Linked DNA regions of Rhinolophus ferrumequinum. The main gene of each other region encodes a partner of the protein of the gene in region 2 in a complex. Links are inferred from orthologs where the notes say so. Each region holds a gene or a part of one and is shown on either strand. Other genes may lie near its edges. The genes, in order: CNOT6 and CNOT9.

What was found.
Region 1: CNOT9 (region 2) and CNOT6 share a complex: the UniProt entries of both Homo sapiens proteins name them as parts of the CCR4-NOT complex. The link is inferred for Rhinolophus ferrumequinum from reciprocal best matches to the Homo sapiens genes CNOT9 and CNOT6.

What each region holds. Positions count from the first base shown.
Region 1 is NC_046307.1:3,494,239-3,509,441, reverse strand, and holds the start of CNOT6 (CCR4-NOT transcription complex subunit 6), read right to left. Parts: upstream 7,256-15,203; 5' UTR 7,094-7,255; intron 6,189-7,093; 5' UTR 6,086-6,188; coding exon 6,079-6,085; intron 1-6,078. UniProt on the Homo sapiens protein: Poly(A) nuclease with 3'-5' RNase activity.
Region 2 is NC_046291.1:16,767,852-16,783,737, forward strand, and holds the start of CNOT9 (CCR4-NOT transcription complex subunit 9), read right to left. Parts: upstream 5,719-15,886; 5' UTR 5,577-5,718; coding exon 5,553-5,576; intron 1-5,552. Other genes in the region: USP37 (ubiquitin carboxyl-terminal hydrolase 37), read left to right, coding at 14,856-15,011. UniProt on the Homo sapiens protein: Component of the CCR4-NOT complex which is one of the major cellular mRNA deadenylases and is linked to various cellular processes including bulk mRNA degradation, miRNA-mediated repression, translational repression during translational initiation and general transcription regulation.

The DNA.
Region 1 (15,203 bases), on a different chromosome or scaffold from region 2:
ATCTGCTCCTTCGCCTGAGACAAGCAACAACCACCTTATTTGCAGCTTCAGCACCAAATGATGGCCAACAGAAATCTTTTCATTTCTTTTTGTTTGGCCAGATTCTCCATCTCACAATGAATCATATTCTAGCTACCACTATCTAGTGGGAATTTTGGCCTTTTGAGGGATTCAACATTTATTCTCGTTGCTAATTCATATATGCAATCACTTGGGAGATCCGTACATACTAGTTTTGACGCATTAGTCCCTTTTCCCCCTAAAACCAAGAAAGAAAATTCATGAAATGCTGAGCTTACAAATGATCGAGAGGCCTTTAAAAACAATAGAATACTGCTTGAAAGCTACTGAGTGAGGTTTCATGGAAAGAAATCGACAGCAAATGTGTTCAAGAGTTCTGCTTTGCATGGCTTTCTGACGCCAGATGTGCAAGTGACTGCCTTTTCCTAAAATAGTGAGATGCTTTAACACTGGATTTTGGACCAGCAAGAACAGTATTCCTACATGGACTCATGGCTTTTGATCCATAACCAAAAAGAGAATCACAAGTATTAAGATTCTACCTCTATTATGTCGACATGGTCAGCCACTATTGCAAGTGGTTATAAATGTGTGGCAACAACTGGGTCTCCCTGTATTATCAAATCTCTATCAAAGGTCCATTCCAAGCCACAGCACGATGTGTGTGTGTCAGGAGGGAAGAGTGGGGAGTACAGTGTGTCATTAAGAACACAAACCAGAGTCAAAAAGAGGCTAAAGTTTCCACAGTTATAAATGATACCTACCTTACAATTCTGGGGTGAGGATTAAACGAAATAACGCATGTAACGTAGTGCCTATCACATCATTAGCATTCAACGGTTATTTTTTCTTTCTGTGACTATCTATCTGTGACTAAGTCTGAGTTTCTGTAAGTTTCCCTAAAATTAGAAACCAAATGACAATTCTTTAGATGTCCCCCAAACACTAGTTTCACTTTCAACAATTTTAGGTGCAAATGTGTAAAGGAAGCTATTAGTCTAAAACATGGCAGTGAGCTTCATCAGATACTGCCTTATGATCCTGCAATGTTTACATACAACTATACACAATCTTTAGGGAAGAAAAGATTTTGTCCCCCAAAGAGCTGAGTGCAAATATTCTGACTTAATTTTAATAAGTCTTCATTTCTGTTTCGTCTTTAATTAGCAGGGATTCTTAATATCTTCTTTTAGTCTGTCTCCCCACACCCCTCACTCAAAATCTGCCTAGTTTAAAAAAATCTATACGTAGCCTCTTGATGTATCTAGAGACTCACCGTAATACTCTTTTTGGATACAAAGACCATTGCTTAATTTTTGTTTTGCTACATCACCACGTTTACTTTTTGAGTATATATTTGTAGCAAATACTCTGGAAATCACTATGCCTGACATTCCGGTCTTTGCTACTATATTCTACATTTAAACTGTATCAAATATTTAACTGAACTTTGAGCTGTTGAGCACAATGCAAGTAAAACCTAGTACAGGGAACATGAAAAAGTCGATTTTAGTCTTCTAGTAACTAAAGGCAAAGTTATAACAAGGTGATTTTACATCAGATAATCTCTACCTCCAGCAAGGAAGAATTTACTGTTTTTGAAGTCACATGAAATTCCACAAATAATTTTACGTGACCAAATAAAAAGTGAATCATTTCAACCAACATATCAGGGAAAAATATAAAGTCTACATACAATATATATTAGGAATTTATTCCTAAATTTTGGATTTAAAGCAAACAGAAAGGCTGACAACTAACATAGTAGGTGCCAACCTTCTCTGGACCCTGTCTCCTCTTTAAACTATTACCCCTTTTCCTTCTCTTCCCCTTTAAACATTTCCAAACAGCAGTCTACCACCTTTTTCATTTTAACCTCCCCATTGCTCCCAGCCCAAACTACAATCTGACAACTACTCTGGTCCCAGAAAAATTTGCTCTGCTCATATTCACCTAACTGCCCTCTCAATCCATTCTCCCAGCTCATCCTCCCCTAAACCTGAGCACCGTCTGTCTCCACTGAAAACTCCCTCCTTCTGAGCGCTCTTACCTCCCTCCCTTAGCACCTTCGCCACGTTGCTCTCTCCCCTGCTCCCACCTCTTTACTGCCATCCTGTCTGAAACTAAAAGCTGGCTGTTCCTACGGGTGCCCCCTCAGTCCTCTCCTCTTCTTAAATTAACCTGTGGTCCATGAGTAAGTTTCACACTTGTGTGCATACTTCTCTTCAACTGGATCCAGAATTCTCAAGTGATTCTCAAGTGGGGATCCATCTCCCCCAAAATGGTGAAAAGCATTTGTTCACACACTCTTCCTGAGTGATCTCCTAAATCCAAAGCCAACTACTTAATGACCAAATGTATAACCCCCCCCCCACAACCACTCCCTGGTCCAGACACTCATCAGACATACCCACCCAAATATCCGACAGATACATCAAACTTAGAATCAAAATCATACTTTTCCACTTTCCTTGTCCAAATTTGCTCTTGGTCCTCTTTTACCCAAGTTAAATCATACCAATAGTTCCCCAAGCTAAAGAACTTCTGAATCATACTCAGCTCCTTCCTCTTTTTAGAGCTGGTGGTATCTTTCATATTTATCCTATGCTTTTCCAGCACCTACGCTGATGTCTTTGACCTCTCACAAGGACTCGAGTGAATTCTGACCCGTTTCCTGACCCCTGCGTGTCTCCTCAACCTCAACACTCAATGGATCCCCATTATATATAGATGGAAGTCCCAACATTTTAAGAACAAGCCTAAGACTATTCACAAACTGTTTCTGGCCACCCCTCAGTTCCTCACATCCAAGTTGTACGTGACATGACTTTGCACATGCTGTTCCTCCTCCTCGTAATGCCCTACTCAGCCTGACAACCTGCTCACCCTTCACATCAGCTCAAGGACCTCTGAGACGACTCCCTCAAGTTTCCCAAGCAGAAGTTAGCTGCCCTTTCCTTAGCATGCCCCAAACGCTCTGTATAGTCCTCATCATTACATAACCTGATGAGGGCTTTACTGGTTCATTGGACTCGCTCTACACCACTCTAAACCCACATGGGACAAAGACCACGAGCCCCATAAGGACAGCAAATCTATATATGGTGCCTGACACATGGGTGTGCAAGGACTTTTGGAAGTGAGGTTTACAGCACTATTTCAAAGTGCTGTATTCAAATACAATCAGGTCTGCTTGATCAGTTGTGCTGAAAATGTGGATTTGTTCCAATGTGATTGATAAATTAGGGAATTTGAGCATAACTCAAAATTCCCAATTGCTTACGTGTAATTATCTGTGAAAAACACTGGATGAAGGTAAAACACTGTACCCCAATGAATGGAGCTGTGTGGATACAACACACACACACACACACACACACACACACACCCCTCAAACACCTACCAACTACATCAGTTCTGCGTGTTATGAGACACATTCACCCACATCTGGTGGTGTTATAACATTCCCTCTGAGTTCAGCTAAATCTTCCACCACTTCATAATAACTCACAAGCAGCAACCCCTCTTATGCCCATTTCCACAAGCAAACCAGGTCTTTTTCAAGGAAAATTCTACACATTGGAGCATTTATATATTGTTTAACCATTTAACGTGTAAAACTGTGCTGTCATTTTTATCAGGTTCCTTTTTTACAAATAAGTCACTGACTTTTTACTGCAATTTTACATACCATGATTTGTAGGAACCCACATGCCCTTACAGCAGAACTGACTACCGAGTGCTTAGCCTTTAAGAAAATTTCAGTATTCTAACCAGTACGCTACTGGAGAGAAAACTGCTTTCCCCCCAAAGTTCATGAAATGTTTATAACCCGTATCTCAACAGACCATCAGGGTCATCATAACCTTTCAGCTTGGTGGCTCTCGCTTCCGGTGAGCAGAGGGTTGATTTTTCCACTTTAAGTTCCACAGTCTGCCTGAGCCTAACTCAGAAGAAACTTTCACATGTACGATTTTATGGGTTTCATTGTTTTGACTCCTTTAACTTCTTCCAAAACATCCTGGCATTTTTATTTTAAATTACCCCGTATTACAGAGCAATTGGGCAGAGCCCTCAAGCCCAACAGAAAAGGGACCAGACACAAGACACTATATACCCAAGTTAAAAATAGATTCAGAACCACTCACTCCACACTATCTCAAATGTGACTTTTACATGTAGGGCCTTGGCTCAATCCTCCACACTGATGACAGTGATCTTTAAATCACCTTATGCCCCCACTAAAAATATTTTGGCTCCCTCCTTTTCTATAGGATAAAGATATAAACCTCACTTTTAGCTTAGCAAGCAGGGTCTTTCAAAATCTAGGCCAGACATACTTTTTTGCAGGTTCATCTCTAGTCAGTCTCCCTATTCCGGTAACATCTCACCATTGACCTCACCCCAACACTTGGCACCTCAGTGCACCCATGGTTCCTTCTGTTTGAAATGACCCCTTATCCCCAGTTGGACAAACACCTTTTCTCTGTTATTTTCTGTAAACTGCTTCCACACCTTCCACAAATACAACCATTTTCTCTTCTATTCTCCCACAGAACTTGGTACACCTACTAAGCCTATTAAACTACACCCAGGCAGAAACTTGAGTATTCAGTTTTGCATTCTCAGGGTCCAGCATAACTATTCCTCGATATGTAACTTAAGCTATCAAGAAAATATAAAGGGATGAGGGAGTAAGATTAAGGCAGCCTAAATGAGGCCCCATCTTAGAGGCAAACGACCTTCTCCTCTTTAATTACTACTTCAAATACCAAAATATAGTGCATTTCATTGTACTCTAATGAACACAGGCTATGCATACAGTAAGTTTTACAGTTTATTCAGCATTTCTTAATTTCACATACATAGTGTTTTGTTAATCACACTGTCCTAAAATGGCTACCTTCCTAAAATGAGCAGCAGTTAAGATGAAAGAAAAAAGTACATGGATAAAAGATTTTGTGGAAGCTAAGGATTTGAAAATTAAAATTGGAACTTTCCCAAGACAGTAACATTAAGTTCCAACCACAACAAAAGTGTAATTAATAGCATTACATACCCACAAATCCACGTCTTTCTTTTCTCCATTAGAGTATGTTCTTAGCTGAGCCTATTTAGACTTTTCCAAAGTGATAAACACTTTAAAAGCAGAGCTTTCCCTAGTGTGCCTTGCACATGGAAAAAGTACAAGTGTGCTGAAGATGTCGGCGCCCCCACCCTCAGCTGTGAGCAGTCCTTGGGCCTTTATTCCTGTTTGCGTTACATATGAAAACGTTGCATATGAAAACGGTGTATGCTTTAAAGAATATAATAAGGCTCATATGGGTATAGCACGATGCCTAAGTATTAACCAAAGCACATATTTATAAACTACAGGTAGAGGAGGTAGATTCCTACAACACCTTTATTTGTTGTCAGGATCGAGTTCTATAACCACCCTCATCTCTTTAAAAGAAACTAGTCTGAAATTTCCCAGTAACAGTACTCTGCCCCCAAGATTTAAGATACCTGAAGATACCTACAAAATCAAACAGACATTTAAAAGGGCTTCTTCATTTACATTACCACTGATCGAGACACTTTTGTCACATCTTCGTTTTTGACCATTTCACTGTCATGTTCACCTGAGAACTGACCAGACTCAACTACCTCAAATAACTTCAATCCATTAAAACACCCTCTGCCCTCCCCAAAGAACTATACTCTCCAGCAATTACATTCTCATTTGCTCTCATATTCATACACAACCTGGTCCCTCTTAACTGTAATATGTTTGGGCCAGTCACTTTAACCTTCTAGGTCTTTCCTCATCAGCACTTACTCAAATATTTTGTTTAAAGCAAGTCGACTGGACTAGATCACTCGTCTAAAAATATTAAGCAATTTTTATTCTAAAAGTCATGACATTCTAAAGACAGTGACAACTGCTGACAGCAATTACCAAAAAAAGTCTTCAAAACCTTGACCAACGGCTGTATCAGCTCCTACAACCTACAAAACTGGTTTGGAATGGTAAATCCCAGTCAGTGTATTGTGAAAAACACAAAGTGTTATTACATGCCATTTTATTTTTCACTTCCTCTCCAAAATTCTCTTCTCTTCAAAATTAAATTCCCAGAAACAAGGAAGCAAGAAGATTCCGCAGTAGCACTAATAGGACAATCCACCTGGAAAACAGGTAAATATGGGAACTCAAATTCAAGCAGATTATTGAAACAATGTCAGCTTAACACAATAACAAATCCAGGAAGGTCCAGCAAGATGACCATTCACAATGTTGTCATTTGCAGTAACAGTTAAATAAAAAGGTTACCGGCGTTAGTTAGCAGGCTCTTTGGGGAAGGTGGAGGAAGAGTCAAAGAAAAAAGTTTCCGTATTGTGGGGAGTGTGAGGAGGAGAGGGGGAGGGGGGGAGGGGGGAGGAGGGGGGCAGGGGGGAGGAGGGGGGAGGGGGAGAGGGGGAGAGGGGGAGAGAACGAACTCCGGTTACTGGAGAAAACTGCTTCAAGTCACTAGAACTACTCCGAGTCCTTACCTTAGCAATACCATAAATCTTTTCATTCGGTGCTAAGCGATTCTTTAACCATGTCATTCCCACCCACTCCCCCAAAATCTGCGTTAAACTGAATTGTAAACACTTTTGGGGGAGGGGGTAAACAGTCGGTTTCCCGCTTTGCGAGGTTCCACACTCTGCAGCGCGCAATCCCACAGCCACTCCTCCAAAGTTGCCACCCATCCCGGCCGCGAGTCTCGGACACCGACTCGCCTCCTCCCGGGGACCCGCGCCGGGGTCCGAGGGCCAGCGCGCCCCCGCCCCGCCCCTGCGCGCCGCCGCGCCCGCCGTCAATCAACGCCCCCCACCCCCGGTTTGGGCGTGGGGGAGCGACTCCCGGCGCTGCGCGATCGCAACGTATCTTGGGGGCCTCAACAGCCGCCAACTCAGCCCAGCTACGGGCCCGCCGCTCGCCAAGCTCAAGTTGCCCGCTCCCCGCGTGCCCCGGGGGCACGACCGAGCGGGGCCCGTGAACAGCCAGTGCGGGAGCTGCCCGGCGGGCTTGGGCCATCTCGCTCACCTCTCGGGGTGCGCCGACCTCCGCCGCCGCTGCCGCCTCCTCCCTGTGAGTGCAGCGGGGTCTGACCTGTGGAACCACCATACCAGTCCCGCCCGCTGCCGCAGCGCCGCCGCCGCCGCCTCGGCCGCCGCTCTTTGTTCCCCCTCCGAGCGCCACCGCCTCAGCCGCCCGTCTCAGCTGCCCCGACCGGCCGCCACTATGCCCTCCTGCCCTCTCGGGCCCCGGCCTCGCCCTCCTCGCTGTGCCCGCCGCCGCCTTCGCCTCCGCGCCGCCGACGCCGCCGCCACCGACGCCGCCGCCTCCTCCTCCGCGCCCCCCTCGCTTTCATTGAAAGCAAACAAGCATCATGGCGGCGGCCGCCGTCTCCCAGCCAGCGAGCGCCCCGACCGCCGCCGCCTCTCCAACATCCCGGCCGCCCATTGGCCGCCGCCACCGGGCGCAACCATTCGGCGCCGGGAGGGGTTTCTTCCTGCACGCGCTGCCCCAGGCCCCGCCCCTCCACCCCCGCCCTTGGGGACGGTGGTCCGGCCCGGCGCGCTCCCGGCCCTCCCTCCCGCTCCTCTTCCCGCTCTCCTCATTCCCGTCGTTCCCGTCACTTCTCTTTTTTCCTCTTTTTAACGGCTGCTCTGGTTTTCATCCAGCTCTCTTTTATTTGTCTCGGGCTGTTCACTTTTGTCTCCTCTCTTCCCTCTTTTTCTTTGATCTTCCTCCCCTCCGTTTTGCCTGTCAATCACATGGAAACATGGACTAGCTCTCAGACTTTTGACCTTAGCCAGTATCTTGATTTGCCTAAAGATGAGACATTCAATCGTGAACAGTCATATGAGTTTTCTTCCCTCAAATATGCTGAAAAAATTACTTAATGGCCCGTTGCGCTCCATCAATGGTCATTCAGTCCAGTAATTGAGGGACGGTTCGTGTGGTGGGATTCTAGCTGGAGTAATCGTCAGCATCTGCGTTCAGACATGGAGGCGTTCTATTCAGGTGGTGACTGAAGGCGAGCAGAGGAAAGACTGGACTGGCTGACGATGGGGTGGACACCTTAACTTATATGGCCAGGCTTTGTGCTGGGGCCAGGGCAGAGAGATGAAGCAGGCCCCACTCTGCCCCGAGCAAGCTCATAGTCTGGAGGCAAGAGAAACAGCCAACAGACTTAAAATCCAGTAGAGAGGCAGACAGGCATGGCATGAGGGGAAAAGGAGTAGCCATCCTCTCATCTACATGGCAAACTAGGATGGGCTCCCCCCTGAGATATCAACCCTGAAGAAATACAAGTGAAATGGGTTCTGGTAAGTAGCAATAGCGGTAAAGTAAGACACCCCCACCAAAGGCTGTCTTGGGCTAGAGTATATGGAAACGGGTGGCTGCTGTTGGGGCAAAGGTAGAGCTGGAAGAGCAAGGAAAAGATTGAGGGACAGAGGCTGCCGAGGTTCTGTGCTTGTCTCTCCCCAGCATGGCCTGGGGATGGTTCCTGCCTGCCATTTTCCAAGAAATCAACATGACAGCCCAGTCCTCTAGTGCCATAGGACACTGGACAAGAACAGGGCAGCAGGGGTTAGGGGTTGAAAAGAGCAAGTGCAGACTGGCCTGTGGGCATCCCTCTGTATCCTCCAAACCCAGGCTACTGAGTCTAGGGTTAAGCAATCTGCTGTACATCCAGCTGGTCCTCTGCCTCCATGTGAGTGCTGTGCCCTGGCAACCTGTGCTCCAGCCTGGACAGAGGGGTCCCTTTTTTATAATTCAGCTGCCCAGAGGGAGCTACTTTTTGTGGTTGGCGCAATATGTATGGTGGAGGGGACGTCCAGCCGCATAACAAAAAACTCAGTGGTGTAAACTAGTTTATTATAGCTCATGATAGACATAACTGTGCCCAGCTAGACAATTCTGTTGGTCTCACTTGGGCTCTCATGCCTCTAGTGAGATGGTGGCTGGGGGTTGGATGTCTGGCACCTTGGTGCCCCCAGTGAGGTCTTTTTCTGTGTTGTATCTCATCCTCAGCTTTTCTTTGTGGTTTCTCTCTCCGGCAGGAGATCTTGGACTTGTTGAATGGCAACCCAGGGCTCCACGAGGGAGCAAGTGGAAGCTGCCAGGCCTTCTGAAGGATGTCACTTCAGGAGTCTGTTAGTCATAGCATCAAAGCCCAGTCCAGATTCAAGAGGAGAGGACATAAGCAACACAGGAGCTGCATGTATGTACAGGGAGGGACAGAGTTTTGGGGGGCCATCTGATAGATTGGGGGAACCCACAGGGAGGGTACCAGTGGTGGCCCTGCCTGTGCACGTCCTGTTCTTTCTGAATATCTGAAGAAAACCCTAGAAAAGCCTCTCACCTTTGCAGATCCAAATCGTGCCTTTCATGTGAGCCAAGACTTCCCATTGCATTGTTATAAAACCCCAACTCAAGTAGACTTTTTGCAGAAAGAGATCATTTGCATATTCAGGTGTCACATAACTGAAAAGTTCAGGCATAATAAGATGCCATCCAGAACAATCTCACCCCTCCACCTTTCACTCTGCTCTCCTCCCCACTGGCTTCTTCACACAGGTTGTGTAGCCAGGCAGGAGAGATGGCCACTACGACAGGCAGGCGTAGATTCTACCAGCTTCTCCTCTTGAGAATTTCTTTCCTCATCGTTTTAGCAAGAACCCAGGGCAGCTCTCACTGGCCTGACCAGAGCTCTGGTCTTACTCCCTGCAGCCAGGTGTGAGGTCAGCCCTGCATGAAGTAGATGTATTGAGAGCAGGGAAGGACCATCCCTTGGGGAATTGGGGTGGCCAGAAGGAGGGGAGCAGATTCCACCTCAGGCCTTCTCAGGGAAGGCTTCCCAGCAGAGTTGGTTCCTGTCTCCTCAGGCTCCGGGCCCCTTTCCTGCCATCAGGGCACTCAGCAAAGATAGCATTCTCCCTGCCAGGCTGTGAGCCACTCCAATCTAAATCATGTTGCCCCCATGCCGCCAACTGGGGCTGCTTTTGAGTCTTTTCCACTCACAGGCTTTCGCAGTTCCTTCCTCTGTTCTGAACACCTTGACCCTCAGGCCCAGTGGTGGGCATGTAACCAACCTGGGATTTGCTATGTGGATGTGGGAAGAGTTCTCATACCACTGGGGTCCTAAACTGGGACAGTATGAGTTGGTGGCAGCCAGTGCATCTTCCCAACACATGGAGAGATGAGAGAGAGATGAAGAGAGATCGTCTTGGTGACAGAGCCTTGGTACCAGGTGCCAAAATCCTGATTTTGATAGTTTTCCCTTTTATCCTATGATCTAGTCCAGGTACATGAGCCAATAAGTTCATTTTTTGCTTAAGTTAAGGTTAGGCTTCTGTCACTTGCAATCAAAATACTTCTCATTTGATGCTTAGTAAATGTATTGGCTAGTGGATAGGAGGATAAATAACGAAGATGGACAACCAAGAGGTGGCCATGCCTGTTGATGTGGCTGTGGTGTCTATTTTGCAGGCGTGTCTGGAATTCAAACTCAAGGTCGGTGTAGGATGTGGACCATAACTTTGTGGGTCCAGCAATTGGACTTGCCAAGGTCCCCGGAGATGGGGAGCATTGCTCAGAGTGGCTGCAGTAACTAAAATGCACAGGAGATGGCGAACTGATGCAGGCTCCAAGGTTTATTTGCAAGATAAACCCAACCACGGTGAGACCCGAATGCTTACAGTGGAAGATCCACGTCTCCCAGTGGGAAAGCACATGGCAAACCGGTCTTGCCAGAGGGTGCTTGGTGAGCCTGAACTGTGGGCCCTGTGGAGCCACTCAGCTCTGACAGTCTGACGCCTCCTTTCAGGGTGGAGACTTGCTGACCAGGGCCAGCACTGGTGAGGCCTCCAGTTTTTCTCAGAGAGGACCCAGTCTAACAGATGAACTTGCAGGTCCCAGTCAGATCTCCCCAGAGTGTCCTTTGTCTCTGGGCCCACTATATTAGCCTGCAATTGATTGAAAAACCATCTCAAACAGCTTTAAGAAAAGAAAGGAGTTAGTTGGGTCTAATCACTGTAAAAGGCCAGAAAGAGTCTATCAGCTTCAGGGGCTAATCTAGAGGCTAATGCACTCTGCTCCTCTCCATGTTGATTTTATCATCAGGGGCAGTATGGAAGCAGAATGGATGCCAGCTCCTACAAGATTCAAGCCCAGAAGGAAAGAGAGAGCTTCCCTCAGCAGCTGAGCAAATGTCCTGGGACTGACTCATTTCCATCCCTGAACCAAACACCACGTTTAGGGTGATATCCTACCCTGGCCAGGAGGAAATCACGTGCCCTCTCCTGGAGCTGGATCATCTTTAACTTCACTCAAAGCACATATGGAAAGAGCTGGCGGGGTGGGGGTGGGGGGGTCCAGAGAAGAACTGGGGATATTGTTGCTGGAAGAAAGAAAAATAGATGCAGAGAAAAGCAAAGGTCCAAGGTCCACTCTCTGTTAAGCCCCCACTGGCACACACACACAGCCCCTGCCAGCTGCTTCTCCAGGCACCTGTCTGGTCGTGGCTTCACTGCCAAAGTGTGCTGTGGGGAGAAGGTGCCTCAGTGCCTCAGCACGTGGGAGACAGAGGAGGTATTCCCCTTTCAGAGCTCAGACGCTCTCCCCAAAGACACCTTAGAGAAGTTAACGGGAATGGGAAAAGGCAGCAAATCCATTTCTGTTTTTAAGTATATGTCATTTTTTCTCTAAGATTGAACCATCTTTTTCAGTGTTAAAAAAATAATTTGTGGTCATGGTTTGAAAACAAATTAAGACCAAACAGCAGAAAGGCATGAAGAAGAAAGTGGCTATGTCATCCCTGGACCCACCCCAGCCACAGTCGCCAGAGATTTGAATTGATTATGATGCTTTGGCTCTAAATAACAAAACAAATAAACCGTACACCCTCAAACATGCATAGTGGATAAGGCTACTTAGGACTCCGATGCCTGAAAGTCCACATGTAGGGCAGCCATTAGGGGTGTTTGATTTAAGCCCTACCGGCAGATTCATCACTGCTGCTGCCCTGGGTGAAAACCATTTTATTGCCTTGCTACTTTTATAGGATATGGGGTGTTAGAATGATGGCAGGAGGCTGAACTAGGAGGGGAATCTGAAAGATGTTTCTTAAAGAGATTGGCCTAAAAAAAGTTTAGGGAAAGTTGACCCTTTTTTGACACAGTAACATGAGTGAGGCCTGTACAGTTTCTAAAATGGATGTTGTCCGTGGGTCTTCCAGGCCCCTGGGAAACCACAGTCAGCAAATTGAGGAACAGTGTTCATTGCGAGGACACTGACGTGGTCACTGCCCCTGGACTGATGGCCCCCTGGGCAACTCCTGTGCCTCCGTGGCATTTTCATCAGCCTAACAGAAAATGTTGGGGATATCTTGAAATATCACGTTCATTCATTTACTTCTTTGAAAACAAAGACATTAGACCCACCAGTAGATTTTGTTATTTGATAAGCTATTTAAGTGTATAAATACTGTTATGTTGTAACACTTAAATATTTGGGCAACTGGATTTCAATATAGCTAGTTTCCTTTGTAATCCTATGTATTTTTATGTTATGCTTTTAAACAATGTTATTCTGAGCAGGGCTCTATAAGCTTTACCAGACTGCCAAGAGGGCTCATGGAGTAAAAAGTGTCAAGAACCCCTGCGTTAGGCTTTGGAGCCCTCAGTACCCACTGGTGAAGAGGGTGGAGATGGAGCGGAAAGTACAAGTGCATCTTAACCAGCTCAGCCTGAAGTCACCCTTATTGATTCTTCTCACACTCCTTTGGTGAGAACTAGTCACCTATCCCTTCCAATTGCAAAGAAGACTTGGGAAAGAGTTCCACAAGCTTGGAAATAACTTCCTCAATTCTGTCTGAGCAGCTGCTTCTCAGCAGCAAATCTATCCAATGGAAGGACAGCAGTAATTTTGTTGAACAGATAACCATCTCTGCCACGGTCCACCTCCCCAACTACCCAATATTCTTATGTACACTTCTTCCAATAAGTGACACCTGCTCTTCCTGTCCCCCCCACCCTTCTCTGCCTCTTTCCCCTGGCCCTCCACCCTGCTGCCATTTTTGACCATGAGAACAAGGCCCACGATATCAGAATAAGAAAGAGCTGGATGAAACCTGGTTTCTGAGCATTTGATGGAGCAGAGACACACCTCCAGAATCAAGGTATGTATTTGGCAGGACATAAGATCGATGCTCTACCATGCAGAAATGAAAACCTTGCTGGCAGAAAGTAGATTGATGGTGTTGCCTTCCAAACTAAGTTGATTATTTCAAAAATAGCCTCAGATTCATTAAGTTGTGAAATTGGGTGGTGAGCCGACCACAAGGCAAATGACCCAAGTATTAAAATTTAAAAATTATATCCAGGCAAGATCTTAGTATCCGCCTGGAACTAAGTAGGATGAGAAAAGTCTGGAAGCCTACTAGTTTTTGGAGTGAAATGTCAAAGAAACCACCAATGTGGACCACAATTTCGTAAATATTTAATCCCCAAAGCAACACCCAATCTCCCAAACCTGTATCAGCAGGAAGATCTAATTCCCAAGTCTATGTGACCGTGAAAGGGACAATGCCTTCCAGAAGGCAGGGACAAAGCCATAGAGGCCAGTGGACAAAGGACTCTCAGGTGGGCTGATCAGTATCTTACTCTGCCTCCAGAGAAGGGAGACTGCTGTGTTCCTGGAAAACCAAATAAGATAAACCCAAGACAGGTATATCTACCTCCCCCACTTTCTGAATTAGGTGGTTGGTTGGTTTGCTGCAATTGTCTTATTCGTACTGCTAATTTATATATTCTGTGTGTTGGAGGTAGATGCCTTTTAGTTCCTAGGTTACTGGGCCACAGGATGCCATACTGGAGACTGCTGGCTACTCGGAGCTGCGAGGGCCCCGTGGGGAGGGATGGGAGAGCTCTCTCTCTCTGTGAAGCAAGAGGGCTGCACATGGAAACGAAAGGCCGGACAATTAAATTCGCAAATCTTCCACTGTGTAAGTGCACGGTGGAAAGTTTGTGAATTTAATTGTCCAAGTTTTCATATAGGAGGCCGAAGGAGGAAATTATACCAGGATGGCAGGATAACTCTTCTTCCAGAATAAAGATGAAATTTACCAACTCCCCTTTATTTGCTAACATCCTTACAGCTGAGTAGGAAGAAATATCTAGAAACTCTCTGCTGTACTCTCAACAGAGAACAAACCCCCAGGGTGGAGGAGGGGTAGACATCTGTCTGAGCTGAGTGGGGCAGGGGAGCTGGGGTCTCATTTCTTCTCAGAGTGTGTTCTCCTGTCCTTGGTTTTAGCCTCCCCACACTTCCAAAAAAAATGTCACTTTCAGTTGCAGATGTAGCTGACGCCAATTTCTGAGACTTTTGAGGATTTTGTTTTGTTTCATTTGTTTTCCTTCTCAGGAGTCCCTTTCCCCTTTAAAAAAGAAAAAACCCTTTTTCATTTTGAAATAATTACAGTCACAAGAAGTTGCAAAGAAATGTGCAGGGACCCTTCACCCCACCACCCCCGATATTAACATCCTGCATAAGCTCGGTGCAATATCAGAACCAGAAACTTGACATTAGGTACAAAACATTGAGCTTATTCAGATTTCATCAGTCATACGTGCACTCGTGTGTGTGTGTGTGTGTGTGTGTGTGTGTGTGTGTGTGTGTGTGTGTGTAGCTCTAGTTTTGTCATGTGTAGCTTCATGGAACCACCACCACAATCAAGACACTTAACTGTACCACCACCTCAAGACTCCCTTGTGCTCCCCTTTACAGCCACAGCCTCCCCTGGTTAACTACTAATTTCACCTCTATAATTATGTTCTCTTACAAATGTTATATAAATGGAATTATGCAGTATGTATCTTTTTGAAATTGGTTCGGCATAATTTCCTTGGGTTCATCTGAGCTGTTGCATGTATCATCCTTTTTAGTTCCATCCTTTTTATCGCTGAGTAGTATTTCATAGTATGGGCAAAACACTATTTAATCCTTCATAAGTCTGGGTCATTCCTAGTTTGGGGTTACTATGAATAAAGCTGCTAGAACATTCATGTACAAGTTTGGGTGTGAAAATAAGTTTTCTCTGTGACAAAGACCCAAGACTATATTTGCTGGTTCATATGGTAACGCC
Region 2 (15,886 bases):
CATCACTTGTTATTTTCTTGTCTTTTTACAGCATTCTAACAGGTGTGAGGTGATATCTCACTTAGGTTTTGATTTGCATTTCCCTGTTGGTGATGCTGAATATCTTTTCACATGCCTGTTGGCCCCTCTGTATGTAAAACAATGTCTATTCGGATCCTCTGCCCATTTTTTAATCAGGTTGTTTGGTGTGTTTTTTTGTTGAATTAATCTTTAATCCATTTTGAGTTAATTTTTGTGAATGGTATAAAATAGTGGTCTAGTTTCATTCTTAGACCTTGATTGGTAATAAAAACCCAAAATGTATTTCACTTTCCTTCTGAATCCCAAGGATCATTTAGGCACACCTTTCACAAAAATATTAGAATCTGAAAATTGATGTCTTCTAAAAGGTAGTGGGAAGTGAAAGTGGGGGATGAGGGAAGAGAGGGATGGATCTATATGCACTTTTTAAAAAACACGGTTTCATTTAATGATCACAATAATGTGGTTTCATCCTCATTTTACAAATGAAACTATGAGTAAATGATGGTGACAGATTTCCCCTTCTTCTCATGCTCGATTTAAAGATCACCTCTAAAGATTCCTAATTCACTTGCTACTATTCTTAAATTTATAATTTACTAATTACATTTCTGAGGCTGTGGCTGATGTGGAACTCAGTCTAGTAGCACACACTGTCCAGTGGCAGATAAGCAAACTCATGTATGACTTCCCTACTGGAGACCACCTAACTTAAACATTTTAACAATGATGGCGGGATACCACAAGCACAAGGGTTAACATTTCTTGAATCAAATGAAATCTATGGATCTTTTCCTCAGAAAAATACATAATTGCAAATTGTTTTGTACATAATTTGTTTTCCACAAATTTACACATAATTTCAGGGAATTCGTAGACCACCCCTTCTGCAACCTATCCATGGACCTAGGATTAATAACCTGTTTATCAAGTGAATGAATAGGAAACACGTAAGTGGAACACACACTAGATTAGAAGCCATAAGTGGCTTCAAAACACAGCTTTGCCATTTCTAGCATGTGTAACCTAGGATAAGTCATTTACTTTCCCAACCCTCAGTTTTATCACTGGTAAAATGAAGGAATTAATTACCGAAGTCTCAGTCAGCTATAAAAATCTTAGAAATTTATTTAATTCTTTGTTATAAAGTGAGAGACTAATCTAAGTGGCTCTTTAAAAATAATAAATTTTATTCAGGTATAATTTATATACAATAAAACTTTTCAGTGCACCCATTTTAAGTGTACATTTCAATGAAGTTTGAGAAATCTATATACCTGAGTAACCACCACCACAATCAAGATATAGATCACTTCCATTACCCTCAAAAGTTCTCTAGTATTCCTGTCAGGAATCGCACCACACCCAGCCCTAGGCAACTATGGATATGCTTTTTGCTGCTATAGATGAGGTCTGCCTTTTCTAGAAACTATTTATAGGAGGTAATATTTACTGAACATACTATGTGCCAGTCACTGTGGATCATCTGCCTTATTCTCAAAATTCTAAGAAAGAATGGGTTCAGGGAGGTTAAATATATGCAAGTTCACACAGCGAGTATATGGCAGAAAATTAGATTTAAATTCTAGGCTACTTCTCTCTAAAATCAGTGAGCCCCTACCTGGTTTATAGGATTGAAATCACAAATATCTCTCCAAGTTGAAGAAAATATTTCTTAAGATCCCAATACAGACTTTTAAGTTTAATATCCCATTGTGTATAATATAGCTCATTAACAGTTGGATTTGGATAAACGGTAAGTTCACTTACATACCCAGAAACGTAAGGTCACTCATGAGAAGTCTGATTTAAACTATTAGTTATCTTCCTTAATACTGTCTTCCAAGATTACAAACAAGAGCTATTGGATATAACTGTATCTTCAGATATAACTCGCTTAATGTCAGTGGTCCCTTCCTTTCAATGTTAAAAATGTCTGTATGGCCAAAATTTAGGAGGGAATTGCTCTCCCCTTTTCTGTTTAATGATTTGTATATAGAAAAAGTATTTCAAATAACTTTTTTCTTTCAACAAAGCTTAACATAGGCAAGACATTTACCAATGTGAGTCACCAATGGTTAACTTCAAGTGTCACAAACACAGGGTACTGATAGTTGGTCTTCTATCTTTGTAAGATCTTAATACTTAATGTGAAAAGAAAAAGATATTTAAAATTTAAATAAAAAGACCCACATTTACCTATAAATGAGAAAGAAAAATGATTTACCCCTCATGAGGAAATTTAAACATTGATGTTGATGGCTTTCTTAAACAGAAAATATCCAAATCTTTCAGTATGGGCCAAAATAGATTCAAGGGCCAAAATAGCTGGCTTTTCTACCAATGAATATTTGACAATGAATAAAGAAAGAAGAGTATTAGATTGAAAAAGAGATTATTTTCCCAAGTCTGGAGATGACTCAACAAGTGTCTTTGAATGTCTAGTTGACGATATTCCAAGAAAACACACTTTCTAAATACTGCCAAAGGGAAATATTAAATTAGCTCAATTATCCTCATATCTTTATGAAAATAAGGTCCAGAATGTTCTTCAAAAATAACTTTTTAAAAATAGAAGTGAATAAGCAAAGAGAAGTTAGGCAATTTGCTTAAAACTTCAACAGGAGACAGTCTTTGAATTAGATGTGCCAGAATGAATGCACAATGTTCTTTTTACTTGCCAAAGAGGAAGGCTTCTGGGAGTCTAGCACAACTTCAACAAAAAGATATAGAATAACTAATGACGGTGCCCATTAGGTGGAAAGCGAGGCAAAAACAAGGGTTTAAAGATGTTAGAATTGCCAGTAGAAATTCTACTGGGGAATCAGTGGGGAATATTTTTAAAAATGCATACCCAGAGCATCTCATAAGGGCTTTCCTTTGGTTGTTTTAGATCACTAGCATATCATTCATTACAGAAGACCCACAGTATGTGAAGATATGTATAATAATTCTATTAATCAACCTCCAAGGTCCATAACAAAGTGATTTGTTACTCTGTTGAGGCAGGAACTAGAGTCCCAAAGCTGAACCTAGGAGCAAGCCATTTAACCAGTGAGTGAACCTAGCCAACCACTGATCACTCTGTTATTATTTCATCTTTAAATAATCCTGTGTGTATTTGTGTCCTTATTTAATAGATGTGAGAAATTACATTCTATGGTGGCAATAATGAAGACGTTAGAATGTATTCTGTAAAGAATGAAAGGTCTATCATACCATACATTTCCAGTATAATACTACTCAAGTCAAAATTTAAGATATTTCCCAAATTATCTCAAATCCTCCCTATTGTGAATGAAATCCTGCATTCACATGTGATCACATTCTCCTTTGACAGTACTATCTCCCTAGCTGAAATGATGAATTACCTGTTATTTTAAAAAAGATAAAGGTACACACAGATACAAATTTTCATCATTAGGCAAAAAGTAATAATCAAGTTGCTTAGATTACTGCAGGCACTGGTGCATGTATTAACTTTTCTCAATTTCTAGAGAGTGACAAACACCATTACTGTCCCTTTACCCAGATCAGAATAAAACAGGCAGTTTAGTCTAATGGAAGGCATGCGCTTCAGTCTCCTCACTAACCAAATATTCTAGTGAATGAGTGGTAGAAAGTAACTTGTCAGAGCTTTCGTGTGGTCTAAGCAGCACAACAAATGAAAGTATATCTAAAAGTTCAAATTTTAAATAAATGTATTGTCAATCTAATTGAAGAAACATGTATTGAGTACTTACTTATAAGTAATGAACCACAGCTTTAATGGCTGTTCAAAAGATGAATTACAGGGAGCAAATGAAAATAAAAGAAATTGAATAGGTATGGGTATAGAGTTTGGGGAGGCACAGAGAAAAGAGCAGCTTGGCATCAAAGTGTGGCGAACACACGATCAGATTTTGAGAGATGGACAAGCCAACCTTAGAAGAATTTATTTACCTTGTCCCTCCCTACTAGCAGAAACCTCATCTTCTGACTTGCTTCTTCCAAATTATACATGTAATGTGCGAGAAGAAACAAAAAAGTTGGGGAAATTGCAAACACCCAATTGAGAGATATAAAAGGTACTTCTCCACTTTGACTAGTTACAAACACTTAGAAACATGGTGACAGGAGGCAGAGATGCCACTGGCTCTGGAAATGACGTTTTCTCTAACCTAATTACACAGCTTCCTTTTTATATTTAAAGGCAATTTTTTGGGTTCTCTATTTCGTATTTGTATCATTTTGCCTACTAATGCAACTTAAGTATATTATTCTCTCATTAAGTCACTTTACCTCTGTGAAACAGAAAAAGTGGGGTGGGCATTTACAAAAGTGTGCTCAAATCATATGATCCCATTTTCCCACTGTGGCTATGTGTTCTCAGTAGCCACCTCCTTCATCTGCACCCCTCATTCAGCAAAGTACCTGAGCCCTTACTTTATGCCAGGAACTGTCCTGGATCTGGGTTACTATGTAAACAAGACCCACATGATCCCTGTCTCTGTCCTCAAGAGGGAGACAATCAACAAGCAAATAAATACAAAAAAATTACAAATTGTAATCAATGCTGTAAAGGATACTTGAAAAGTAAAGTTGGAGGTTACAGAACTACAGTACTTTAAAAAAGACGGTCAGGGTCGCCCACTCTAGGGAGATTTGGCAGAGACCTGAGGGAAGCCAGCTATGCCCACATTGGGGGGAGGGGTGTGTGTGTGTGTGTGTGTGTTTAAGTTGGAAGAGCATTCCAGGAACAGAGATCAGAAAGTGCACTTTGGAGTTGAAAAGCACACCAGAAGGGATGGTAGACGGGATGTCCAGTGTAACTGGAGCCTACCGGGCAAGTGACATAAGACAAGACTGTAAACGTGGGTAAGAACCAGCGAGAGTCTTGTCATAGCGAGGACTCTGGATTTTATCTAAATGCAATGGGAAGCCATAGGATTACACTAGACAGGTGAACTACCCGATCCATTTTGGTTAAAAGACCACACTGATAAAACGAGATGTGTGAGGAAAGGTTTTAAGCGCAGAGAACCGTAAGTCAGACACGATAATTATTCACTTCTCTGGGTCTCAGATTTTCCATCTGCAAAGCAAGTGGTTTTAACTAGAAGCCATTTCCTTTCCGCTGCGATGTGCCTAGGCAGTCAGTTCCGAGAGCCCGGGGCCTTGTCAAATCGATCACAGAATTACCCTCATCCCCGCCGACGCTCGGAACGCAACGGGCACCCGGAAACTGTTGGTCAGGGCAATGAATCAATGAATGGCCAGTCCGGGCCGCGAGGGAGGCGTTCCGGGCGCGCGCAGGCCCCAGGCCGGAAAAGAACGCGAAATGCGGCGCGAGAGGCCACAAGTGCCGGTGGGCGAGGAAAGTAGGGGGTGGCTTCACCGCGACCAAAGCGCGGCGAGGAGGGGGGGCCGGGGCCTCGTGGGTTGAGAGCAGAAGTTGGACTCCAGGCTCCACAGAGGGAGCTAGGAGAGGAGGCCGAAACGCAGGACTGAGGAGGGGTTCTGGGCCCAGGCTGGGCGGCGCACCCACTCACCGCAGCCGTCGCCAGGCTGTGCATGTTGGGAGCGGCCACCGCTCTCCAGCCACCGCCGGACGCGCCCGACCCACGTCCCAGCTTCAGCGACTCTGCCGCCAAAGAGCTGCCGCAGCCGCCATCCGCCTCCGGCTCGCTCCGCCCCCTTCGCAGCCCTATGACCTTTCACCCCTGACACCGCCCACAATCCTCTTCCCCCCTCCTAGCTCTCCACGGAGTTAGTCCTAAAGTCTGTCCTTTGTCGCTTAAGATTCAGGACCTGAAGGACGTCCGCCTCCTATTAGTCCTGGCATTCCCCGCAGGCCTCCCCAGAGAGGGGAGTGAACTCTGACCCTCCTCCGGAGGCCAGTGAAGGGCGGGAAAAGCAGGGCAGTCCCCGAAGGAGAAGTAGTACGCATGCCCGACTGGGCTGAGTAAGATGGAAATGGTGGGAAGTCGAAAATGAGTGAGTAAGAAATGCGCATGCGTCCTGTAGTCAGATGGGGCGGGGCTGCCTTGGCGAGACTTCGCCGAGTGCTGGGGCGGGGCGAGGGCGTGGAGGGGCGGAGTTTGCATTCCTGCGCGCACGCGCCCCGTCCGGTCGCGTAGAGTGTGCGTGCGTGCGTTGCGTGTTTGCGTGTGGTCACAGTTCCCGCCATCAGCCGCTCTCCCTGAGTCGGGGGGAGTGAGCTGTCCCTCTCCTCCGTGCCGGGTGTCCCTTCCTTCCTTCCCCCCCACTTTTCCCCCTCCGCGCGGACTCCGTGCTTCCGGCGGGCCTGTCCCGGGCTCAGGACTCGCAGGCACAGGTAAGGCGGGCCCAGAAAGCTTCTCAACTGAGCGGTTTTCCCCAGCGGCTTCCCCCCCACCCCCGGTCCGCCCACTCGGCGTTCACTCTTCTGGAGTTCGCCCCGCTGCTGCTCAGCCTGCCCCCATCCACTCGACGCTCCCCTGGCCTCACCGGTGCTGCACTTGGGGCTTCCCTCAGGCTTTTCTTCTCCTTTGACCTGGTCTTGACTGTTACTCGCCCCCTCCGCAGCCGGAACCTCCCCCATTTCGCTGGGGGCTGTCGGCGTCCGCCACTCGCCCCTTAGCGAGGCCTGCTGTCTCTAAAAAGAGGACCTACGTTGCCGCACATCCACAGGCCTTGGACATGATTCTCTCACTCTCTTGACAGTTCCTCACCTTCTTTCCTCTCCTAACCATCTCTCACTAAAACGCATGAATTGTGTTCTTGTCGTGCATTTGGTTGCTCCCCATCTCTAGCCATCAGTTCAGGTTGTCAGCTTCACCTGTTTTAGGGCATGAGCCATGAAAGGAAATGATAATTGATGACAAAATCCTGTTTTCTGGAGACTTGGCCTGTAGTGGCTTTGTGGTAGTTCTTTCAAAATTTTGGCTCTGTACATGCCTTTTGGGGGGTGACAGTATCTGACAAGTAGCTAACTGGAAGAGATACCTAAGAGAGGATGTCAAGTTAGCAGTTGGATATATTGGTTTGACGCTCAGAGGAGAGTTCTGGGCTGGAAGTATAGATAAATGTATATATGTCATCTGCCACGTTGATGGTAATCAAAGCCATGGATGTGGATGAAATTGCCTAAAGCGAGTATAACGCTGGAAAAGGGGATCTAGGATGGCTCACTGAGGGGTTCTTGACGTTTAATAACTGGATAGAGGAATACAAGTCTGGTAAAGAGATGGAAGAAGTAATCAGTAGTGTTGCATTTTGCTGAAAGATGAATGAGGACTGAGAAGCCCAGTGAAATCAAAGTAATCGATGGTCATGGTGAGAGAGGTTTAATGGAGTAACATGGAATATCTTGGTTCAGTCGTAGGCCCTGTTCTTTTTGCTCTTCCTTTTCCACCCTAAGCTTTGAATTCTACCTATATATTGATGACTTAAGAACTTTTATTTCCAGCCTCTTCCCAAAAGCTCAAGATCTATTATAACTAGCCCCCATTTGCTTGACATTTCAGCTTGATTTTTTTCCTTAGAGATTTCAAATATAACATGTCTAAAACCAAATTCTTAATCTTTCTCTCCATATCCAAATTCTTTCTCCAGTATCCCGTTTCATTAAGTGGCATATCCATTTATCCACTTACATAGGCTAGACACTTGAAAGCCATTCTTGACTTCTCCCTCATTTCATGTATCCGTACCCTCTTCAAGTTCTATTTATTCTATTTCCAATATATGTGTTGAATCTATTTCTGTATATCTTTCGTATCACTTTTCCAGTCCAAGCCACAATCCTCATTCACTTGGACTTAATGTCACTGCTAGGTACCCTGTATTCTCATCTGTAAAATGGGAATAATCATCACCTTATTGAATTTTTATGAAGATTAAATGAGATAACTGTGGTAAGAACATGATACATAGTAAACAGCCAGTAAGCATTATTATTGTAATTGTTATAAGCTGAATCACTTTAATACTTTCGTATCTGGTTGTCCTGTTTTCTTCCATTCTTGCTCCTTTCTCCTCCCCAAATTGAAATCACTTCTTTATTCAGCAGTAACATGTCATTTCTCTGCTTAAAACCCTTCTGTGGATTTCCCAATCACTAAGTATTTATTACATTGAGGGTAAAATTCAAAATCATTACTATGCTGTACAAGATTCTGCATAACCTGAGTCTTTCCTGCTTTACTAGCTTCATCTTGCACCATCCTCCTCTCTCTCACTAAACTCTAGTCACACTGCTTTTCATTTCTTCAGTCACACCAAGTTACTTTCTGTCACAGGGCCTTTGCACATTTTGTTCTGTTTACTTGGGTGGTTCCAGCATGACTGTCCTTCAGTGAACTCTTTCTTCAAGTTTCAGCTTATATGGTACTTCCTCAGAGAAACCTTCCCTAGGTGCTCTCTAACCTTTAACCCCCAAGTCTTAAATCAGGGACCCTATTATAATCTCTCATCATGCCCTGCACTTTATATCATCTTTCAGAACTTGTAATTATATGTTTATTTGTGTGGTTATTTAAAGTCTGTCTCTTACTAGAATATAAGCTAGTAACTATTTAATTTCTGTTTCTCAAGAATTGGTTAAATGAGTAGCCATCATGTCTTTTGGAAGGTTACTGATATTCTTGTCATCTGTTGACAAACACCTTTTCTGTCTGCAGACAAATCAAAGGATACAAAAAAAACAACAAAGGGTTTTCCAGCTTTGGACGAATTTTCATTTTTATGTCATAAAATCATTTAGATTTTAGACTCTTTGAATTGGAGATAAACTTTATCTAGGGCAACTTCTCTCTTTCAGCCACAACACTAATTTTATCTTTGTGCAAGAAAGCCCTTAGAAATCAGAGCAGTGGTTTATATATTTTTAAACAACAGGTTAAACTATGAGACCAGCAAGGAGGTTTCCAAAAATAAAGGAAAACATCCTATTTAAGTAAGTTGGTGGTAGATGGGAAGGAAATATTAAAATTTAATAATTTGTGTGTGTGGAACAGGATTTTTGTTGAGAAATAGAAAATAAAACATAGGAAGTGTATGAATGCCGAACAGAGAAGCATTTGGATTCATCTTGTAGGTAGTGATGAGCTGTTAAAAATGTTTGGGAGAAAGTTTCAATTAAGCAAGCTGAAAAGTTGAATAAGGTCTAGCAATATGCTGTACAACATGGTATCTGCAGTTAACAGTGCTGTGTTGTATACTGAAAAATTTGTTAAGAGGATAGATCTCATGTTAATATTCTTACCACAATAAAATAAAATTTTAAAAATGTTTGGGAAGGAATCAGCATCAATAGCAAGTATTTAGCACATACTAAGTGCCTGTTATTTTGTTGGAGTACAAAAGAAGGTAGGACAGGTCCTCCCCCCCTCCCACTTTTAGGGAGAAAGTTAAGGAGGCAGTGTATATTCTCCTTGATAGGAGATAAAAAGAGTAGTTCTTTAGAAAGGGTAAAGATTCATTGGATGAAAAAATCCTGAGGGAATGGAGACTGGAAAGTGGTTGCTGCAAATCATTGATGAGGATGCAGTATGGTAGTAGTTAAAAACGTGGGTTCTGGTGGTAGACTGTTGTCTCTTACTGACTCTGACCGTAGGTAAATTATGTAATCTCTCCAAGCCTTGGTTTCCTTATCTGTAACAGAGAGATAATAGTAATCCCTATCCTTTAGGATATTGTGAAAATTAAATGAGATAGTGCATGTATGGAGCTTAGCACTGTGCTTAGTAAATGCTGCGTAATAAATATTAGGTTGGAGTGATGGCAAAGTGATGTGTTTCTGAATTAGGGTAGTAACTAGTATGAAAAGACTGGGTTTTAGATAAATGCGAAGAGGTTAAAGCTGATGCTAGGATGTTTTGCTTGAATGAAAGGGGAAGGAGAAGTGGAGAGAAGTCTGGGGAGCCTCTTGAAGGCATGGGCTGTATAATTTTCACATTTGTATCCATACTAGACTGCTATCAAATTGGAGTAGCTCAGTAAATGATTTTTTACTAAGTGAATAAACGAGTTTAAAGTTGATGTTACAGCTTTCATGAAGGCAATGAGAGATGTTTGAGTTAGAACCGCCTTTAAGTTGAGGCTTAGAGATGCCTAAATTTGAAAAAGAAACCCATAAAGTTAGTTTTGAAAGAAAAGTAAAAACCAGGTTTACTTAACCTTTTGAAATTGTATCAGCACATCATAGAAGTGGTATCTTTAAGACGTAAGACATCATTATGAAACAATGTTTCTGAAGTTAACAAAAGATACACTCTTTTTCACTGCCTTAGTTTCAAAATGTAGCAGGGATAAATAAACCAAGACACAAATTGAAGTGCCGGCTCCTCCTGGGATCCCTTATTTTGCAAGTAGAACTATCCCTACAGTTCTATTGCACTCTCGTGTGTGTGTGTGTGTGTGTGTGTGTGTGTGTGTGTGTGTGTGTATCTTGAGCATTATATTTTAAGTGTTTTCAGTAAGGTGGTTTATGGTTTTTAAATAATCAAAAGGTTAATCTTTGTTGTATAAATGATCACATTTAAAAATAATTTTAATTTTTTACATTGGATTCATTTAAAAAGGCACGCTTATATTTTCTTTAGCTGAGTTGATGGCTTCCGGAGAACTGGCATAGCTGCAGAATATGAGTAGTTCCCAAAGAAGAGTGCATTGCCTTTGGCACAAGAATCAGAATAAAGGTGAATTGTTGTTACATAGGGTTTTTCAGTAAAAGTCACTGAAAAGTAAGTAATGTTTTTATTTTGGATATATGTTTCCAAGAGTATGCATTTTGACAAGAATTGACAGTTTTCTGTTTTGTAGTAGCTGCTTTATTCTTTAGCATGCTTTCTTTACCACAGAATGCACTTCTGGAGAAGAATGTTTTCAAAGCAGTACCTAAAATAAGAATAGCATTTAAACACCTGTATGGGGGTATAGACACATGTTTGGTAATTTTATTGAGTATTTTAATAATTGTGAAGAAATTTAGGTAAAGGGGTATCTCTCTGGATATACTTAAAGAATGAGTTTTTGTTATACTTTGTCTTCCTAATGTCGCTGTGATAGTGAATTAGCATTACAGAGGTCAAAGAAACCTTGTCTTTGTCCTAGTTTCATAGAAAGTTTAACTATTACTGGATCATGCCAAATACTGAAAAAGAAACTTAGTGTTTTTTCTCTTAACCAAGTAGGGCAAACCCTGAAAATATGAATATACAAACGTAGATATAGTTAATCCATTTAATGCAAGAGTAGGTAATGGACTAAGTTGAGGCATTAAGAAAGTGTTTTATGTCCTGTACCTTTTAGGTTTTTTTTTCTTAGGAAAAAAAGAGATTGTTAGTAGAAATGGTTAGGAAGATGTTAAATATCTGAAGTAAAATTTTATGTACTTAACCAAACTCTGCATCAAATGTTTGAAAATTATGTAGAGAGAAATTATAGAGAGAATTATATGGAGAAATAGAAATAACCAATAAAGTTTGTTTTTATTTCTGACGGATTTTAGTGAGCTTTGAAATCTTTACCTCAACATTTTGTTAAATCTAATTTCTAAAAATATGTTTTTGTTGGTGGAATTTAAGGTCAACAACCTTTACTTTTGGCTTGTAAGGAAAATACTAAGATAATGGGGTTTTATATTATTTCTTTTTAATTTGGCACCCTGACCCATAATGACATATAAAGAAAGATGAGAAAATTTGACAAAACTCTTAAAATGGAGTTTTTTTAATTGAACAATGAATAGTATAAAGCCCAGTTTAGGCAAATTTACTAAGGTTTTTGTTTTAATAATGCATTATTATCTTTCTCATTGAGTCTTAAGATATGACGATAGCTGTACATTTAGTGAAGTTCATATGCACATAGAAAAGGCTTAAGCGTTCAAAAGATGAGTTATATGTAATACAGTGCATAGTGATACACTTGTAAAGAGCTTAGGAAATAGAACCCTATATTTCCATATAGAGGGTTATGTAAAAGGGATTTATGGCTCTAGTATCTGCTGTTGTATATTTTCACAGTAAATTGAATAAAGTTGATAGTACGGATTTGTTCATTATTCGTGAATAATGAGTTTGTTTCTTGTGTATCAGACACTGTCCTAATGGGGATGCAAAGCTTAAAGAACACATTCCTTGTCTTTAAATAGAAGAGTCTAGATAGAGAGAGACAAAGAGGTAAGCAGTTTATAACAAAATGTGATAAATGCCCTACTGGAAGTAAGCGCAGGGTACAACAGAAGAATAGAGAAGTATGGAACAGTCTCAGTGTGGATATGGGGTGAGAGAAAAAGAGAAAGGTAGCTGGGAAAGGCTTCTTAAAGAAGATTAGATCTAAGCTGAGCCTTGATTTTATAGACAGGAGAAGAAATTATGGGAGCTTGTGGGGCATGGGGAGAGTACGTAAACATCCTGCAGACTTCAACCTCTGTGAGTGCAACAGTATAGTGGCATGAGAGCATGTGGCTTTTTTAGGGAAATTATAAATAGTTCAGATGGCTGGATTTGGAGGGCTTGTTGGGAAGAGAGGTAAGCAGAACCTGGATCATGAAGGGCATTTATGTCATGTTAGTGAGTCTAGATTTTACTGGGAGGGCAATGGGGAGTCATTGGATAATATTGAGGAGAATGATATGATTTGATCTGCATTTCATTATAAAGAAGTCTGGAAGGTGTATGGAGGTAGAATTGACAGGACTCTACCTTGACCTTCCATCTCCAATCCAATACCAATAATCATCAAGAGAGAAGTCAAAGATAACACTCACGTTTCTGGCATAAGAAACGGGGGTAGGAAAGGGGCCACGTATTATTGGCTGGGCTGAAATAGAGTGGAAAAAATTTCAAGGATATATCCAAACAATGAAGCACCAAAAAATAGTATTACAAACACATTGCTGGCCCAAAATTCTGTAGTTACTAGTTTGAATTAAATGTTGTGTAACAGACAGGACTATAAACAAAGTCGTGGGCTGTGTAACTTTGATGGATTCATATACCCAGCAAATTATACTAAATCTGGCTACAGTAGGCACTCAAGAAATTTGATGAGATGAGTGAATAATAATAAGAGGACTTACAATGCGTAACACCTTTTAACTATTAAGAGTGTTTTCATATCTTCTTAAATTTTATTCCCTGTTATTTGATGTACAGTATCTAGAGGCCTTAAACTAGTGATCCGTAGGCTGTACCCTGCCTACAAGTGGGTTTTGTTTGATTTGTAGCTTTTAAACATAACTTTGAATTCATTGCCCACAATTAAAAATGGGCAGATTTACACAAAAATTTGTCATTTTCTTGAAAAATTAGATGATCTGGTAATGCTAGTTTCACTGTTTCTACCTGATAAAATTGGCTGGATTTGAATAGCAGTTTTCATATTTTGCCTGCCCATCATATGTGTTACCTGACTGACCCATGTAGGCAGTTGAATTGGTAACCCCTGTTAACTTATTTATCAGGGGTCTTTGAAGAACAAAGTGTTGCAGACAAGGAATAAATTCAGAAAATGGACACTGATTTCATATTAAGGCTAGGGTCTGTTGAGTGCTTAATGTGTGTTATTTCATTTAATTCTGCAACACTATAGCATTTGCTATTCCTATTTTACAATTGAGAAAACTAAAGGTTAGAAAAGATAAGTTACAAATTCGTGACAGCTGGCTCCTGATATCTAGACCTAGTATGTTTTTCCTTTGATCACTACTTTTTTGAAAGTTTTTCTAGTTCAGCTGTTTAGGCAGATGCAAAGTTTAATGATTTTTGACTTATTAAATTATAAGCACAAATCTGTATTAGAGGCAGTGATTTTAGAGATTTGAAAAAGAGTATAAAATGTTTTAACATTGAGTGTGATGTAATTTGATCTGCAGTTCGTTATAAAGATATCTTTATAGATCTCTATACGGAAGGTTTATGGAGGTGGAATTGTATAACATACACTATTTGTTGCCGTTCTCTGCTATTACTATTGTATTTGTTGACATTTGGTAAGCTAGTTTGAAGAGTCTTAGACATTCTATTGTTGTAAGCCATTTGTAAGTATTAGAAGGTCATTTGTGAAATTTGAATATCTGTCATAGATAAAATTGGTAAAGAGTTCTAGGAATTGTGATATTAAACATAAATGGTAAGTGGTTCTTAGGAAGAGAGGGTTGTTCCCCCCCCCCCAGAGAATAAATGATTTTCTCAAATAATACAGTTTTGGGGGTTAAACTAATTTGATTATTCTTACAGTTTTGCTTTCATTTAATGTCTTCTATACATGTGGATATGCTTGGACTACTTGGTTTGAATTGATATTTTGAGAACTCCATTCTGAAAAATGGAGTCAGCTGACTGAAAATATTTTTTTACTTGTATTTGAAATTCAAGACCCTTTAGCATTCGTGAAGGAAGGTAAAAGTTGATCGTGTTGCTGTAGGCAATCCCACTGAGAATGCAATCTTTAGTATTGACCTGCCTTTAGTGGCAGCAATATGGTGTGAGTGGTACAAAATGCAAAATTTAGGCACTAATGCATAGAGGTACTAGACACATGGCAAAGAAGGGAACATGTACTGAAGAAGTAAGTAAATGCTGGCTATATTCACACAGTCAGGATCAGTGACTGCCTTAGTTGTCTTTCTTACCTGTGCCATGCCGCTAATCAAGCAAGGCCTTTGAGGCTGCTTAATAAAATGTGGTTTATTGAAATGGAGAAAAGTACATAAGATGGTTCATTAAATGTCCTCTTTCAAACACTTATTTTAATCACTGGTAAATTGTAACTTTTTATTTTATTTTTCTTCCTTAGAATCTATCAGGTGAAGGTGTATTTTTGCTTTATAATTTGGCTAGAAGCAATTTATTTTTTAAGAAAGTATGTCTCCTCTGAAGATACATGGTCCTATCAGAATTCGAAGTATGCAGACGGGGATTACAAAATGGAAAGAAGGATCTTTTGAAATTGTGGAAAAAGAAAATAAAGTCAGCCTAATAGTGCACTATAACACTGGAGGAATTCCAAGGACATTTCAGGTATTATCAAATTTCGATTTGGAATAGACCTTCAGTGACATGTTTTAGTGAATGATTGTTCTCTGCCATACTAAGTATCATGGTAGCCCTCCGCCTACGTTAATATTTCTTGTTTTTTATTTCCAGCACACTCATACTCTTATATTCATATTTTATAAATTATTCAGTAACATTATTGATCATGTATAATAAAGAGTGGGAAGTAGTCACCATTATTGAAAAGAAAGTTGATGGGAGGAAGATTAGAGGAACTGAGTTTGGATACTATCTACCTAAGCTATTTTAAAAACCACAGTAGGAGAACTTTATTCCTTTTTTTTCCTTCTCTTTAACACAAACGATAGATTTATCCTTATTTAGTGCTAGCTTTTAATAGGACTTCTTAGTGTCATCTTAATGTCTGCTTCCTAAATAATCCTGCCAGAGTGGTGGTATAGACAGACCATTCAAGGTCATCCTTACTGCTGTTTTCTTCTAATTGTAAACTTTTAAAGGATCTCATTGTTTTATCACTGCAGAAAAGAGAGTTTTGTTTTCACTTCTATACTATTTATCTTGTGCAGCCAAGAACTACTCATCTTGATATGAGTTGAATTTAAGAACATAATGTCTTAGTTTTTTCTGCACTTTAAAGTTCTGTATTAATTAGATTATACAAAAGCATATTTTAAAGTACTCTATTGAAGAACAATTTATAAAACTTTATGCTTGAGAACCTGAGCTGAGGTAAAATTTCCATTTGTCTTTGCTTTTGAACTATGAAAATAAATTGCTTATGATTTTGTGTATCAAAGATGCTCTTTTTTTTGGTGGGGGGGATCTACCGGTGAGAACTGGAAGACCTAGACAAATTCAAAAGAGCTGTAAGCACTAGG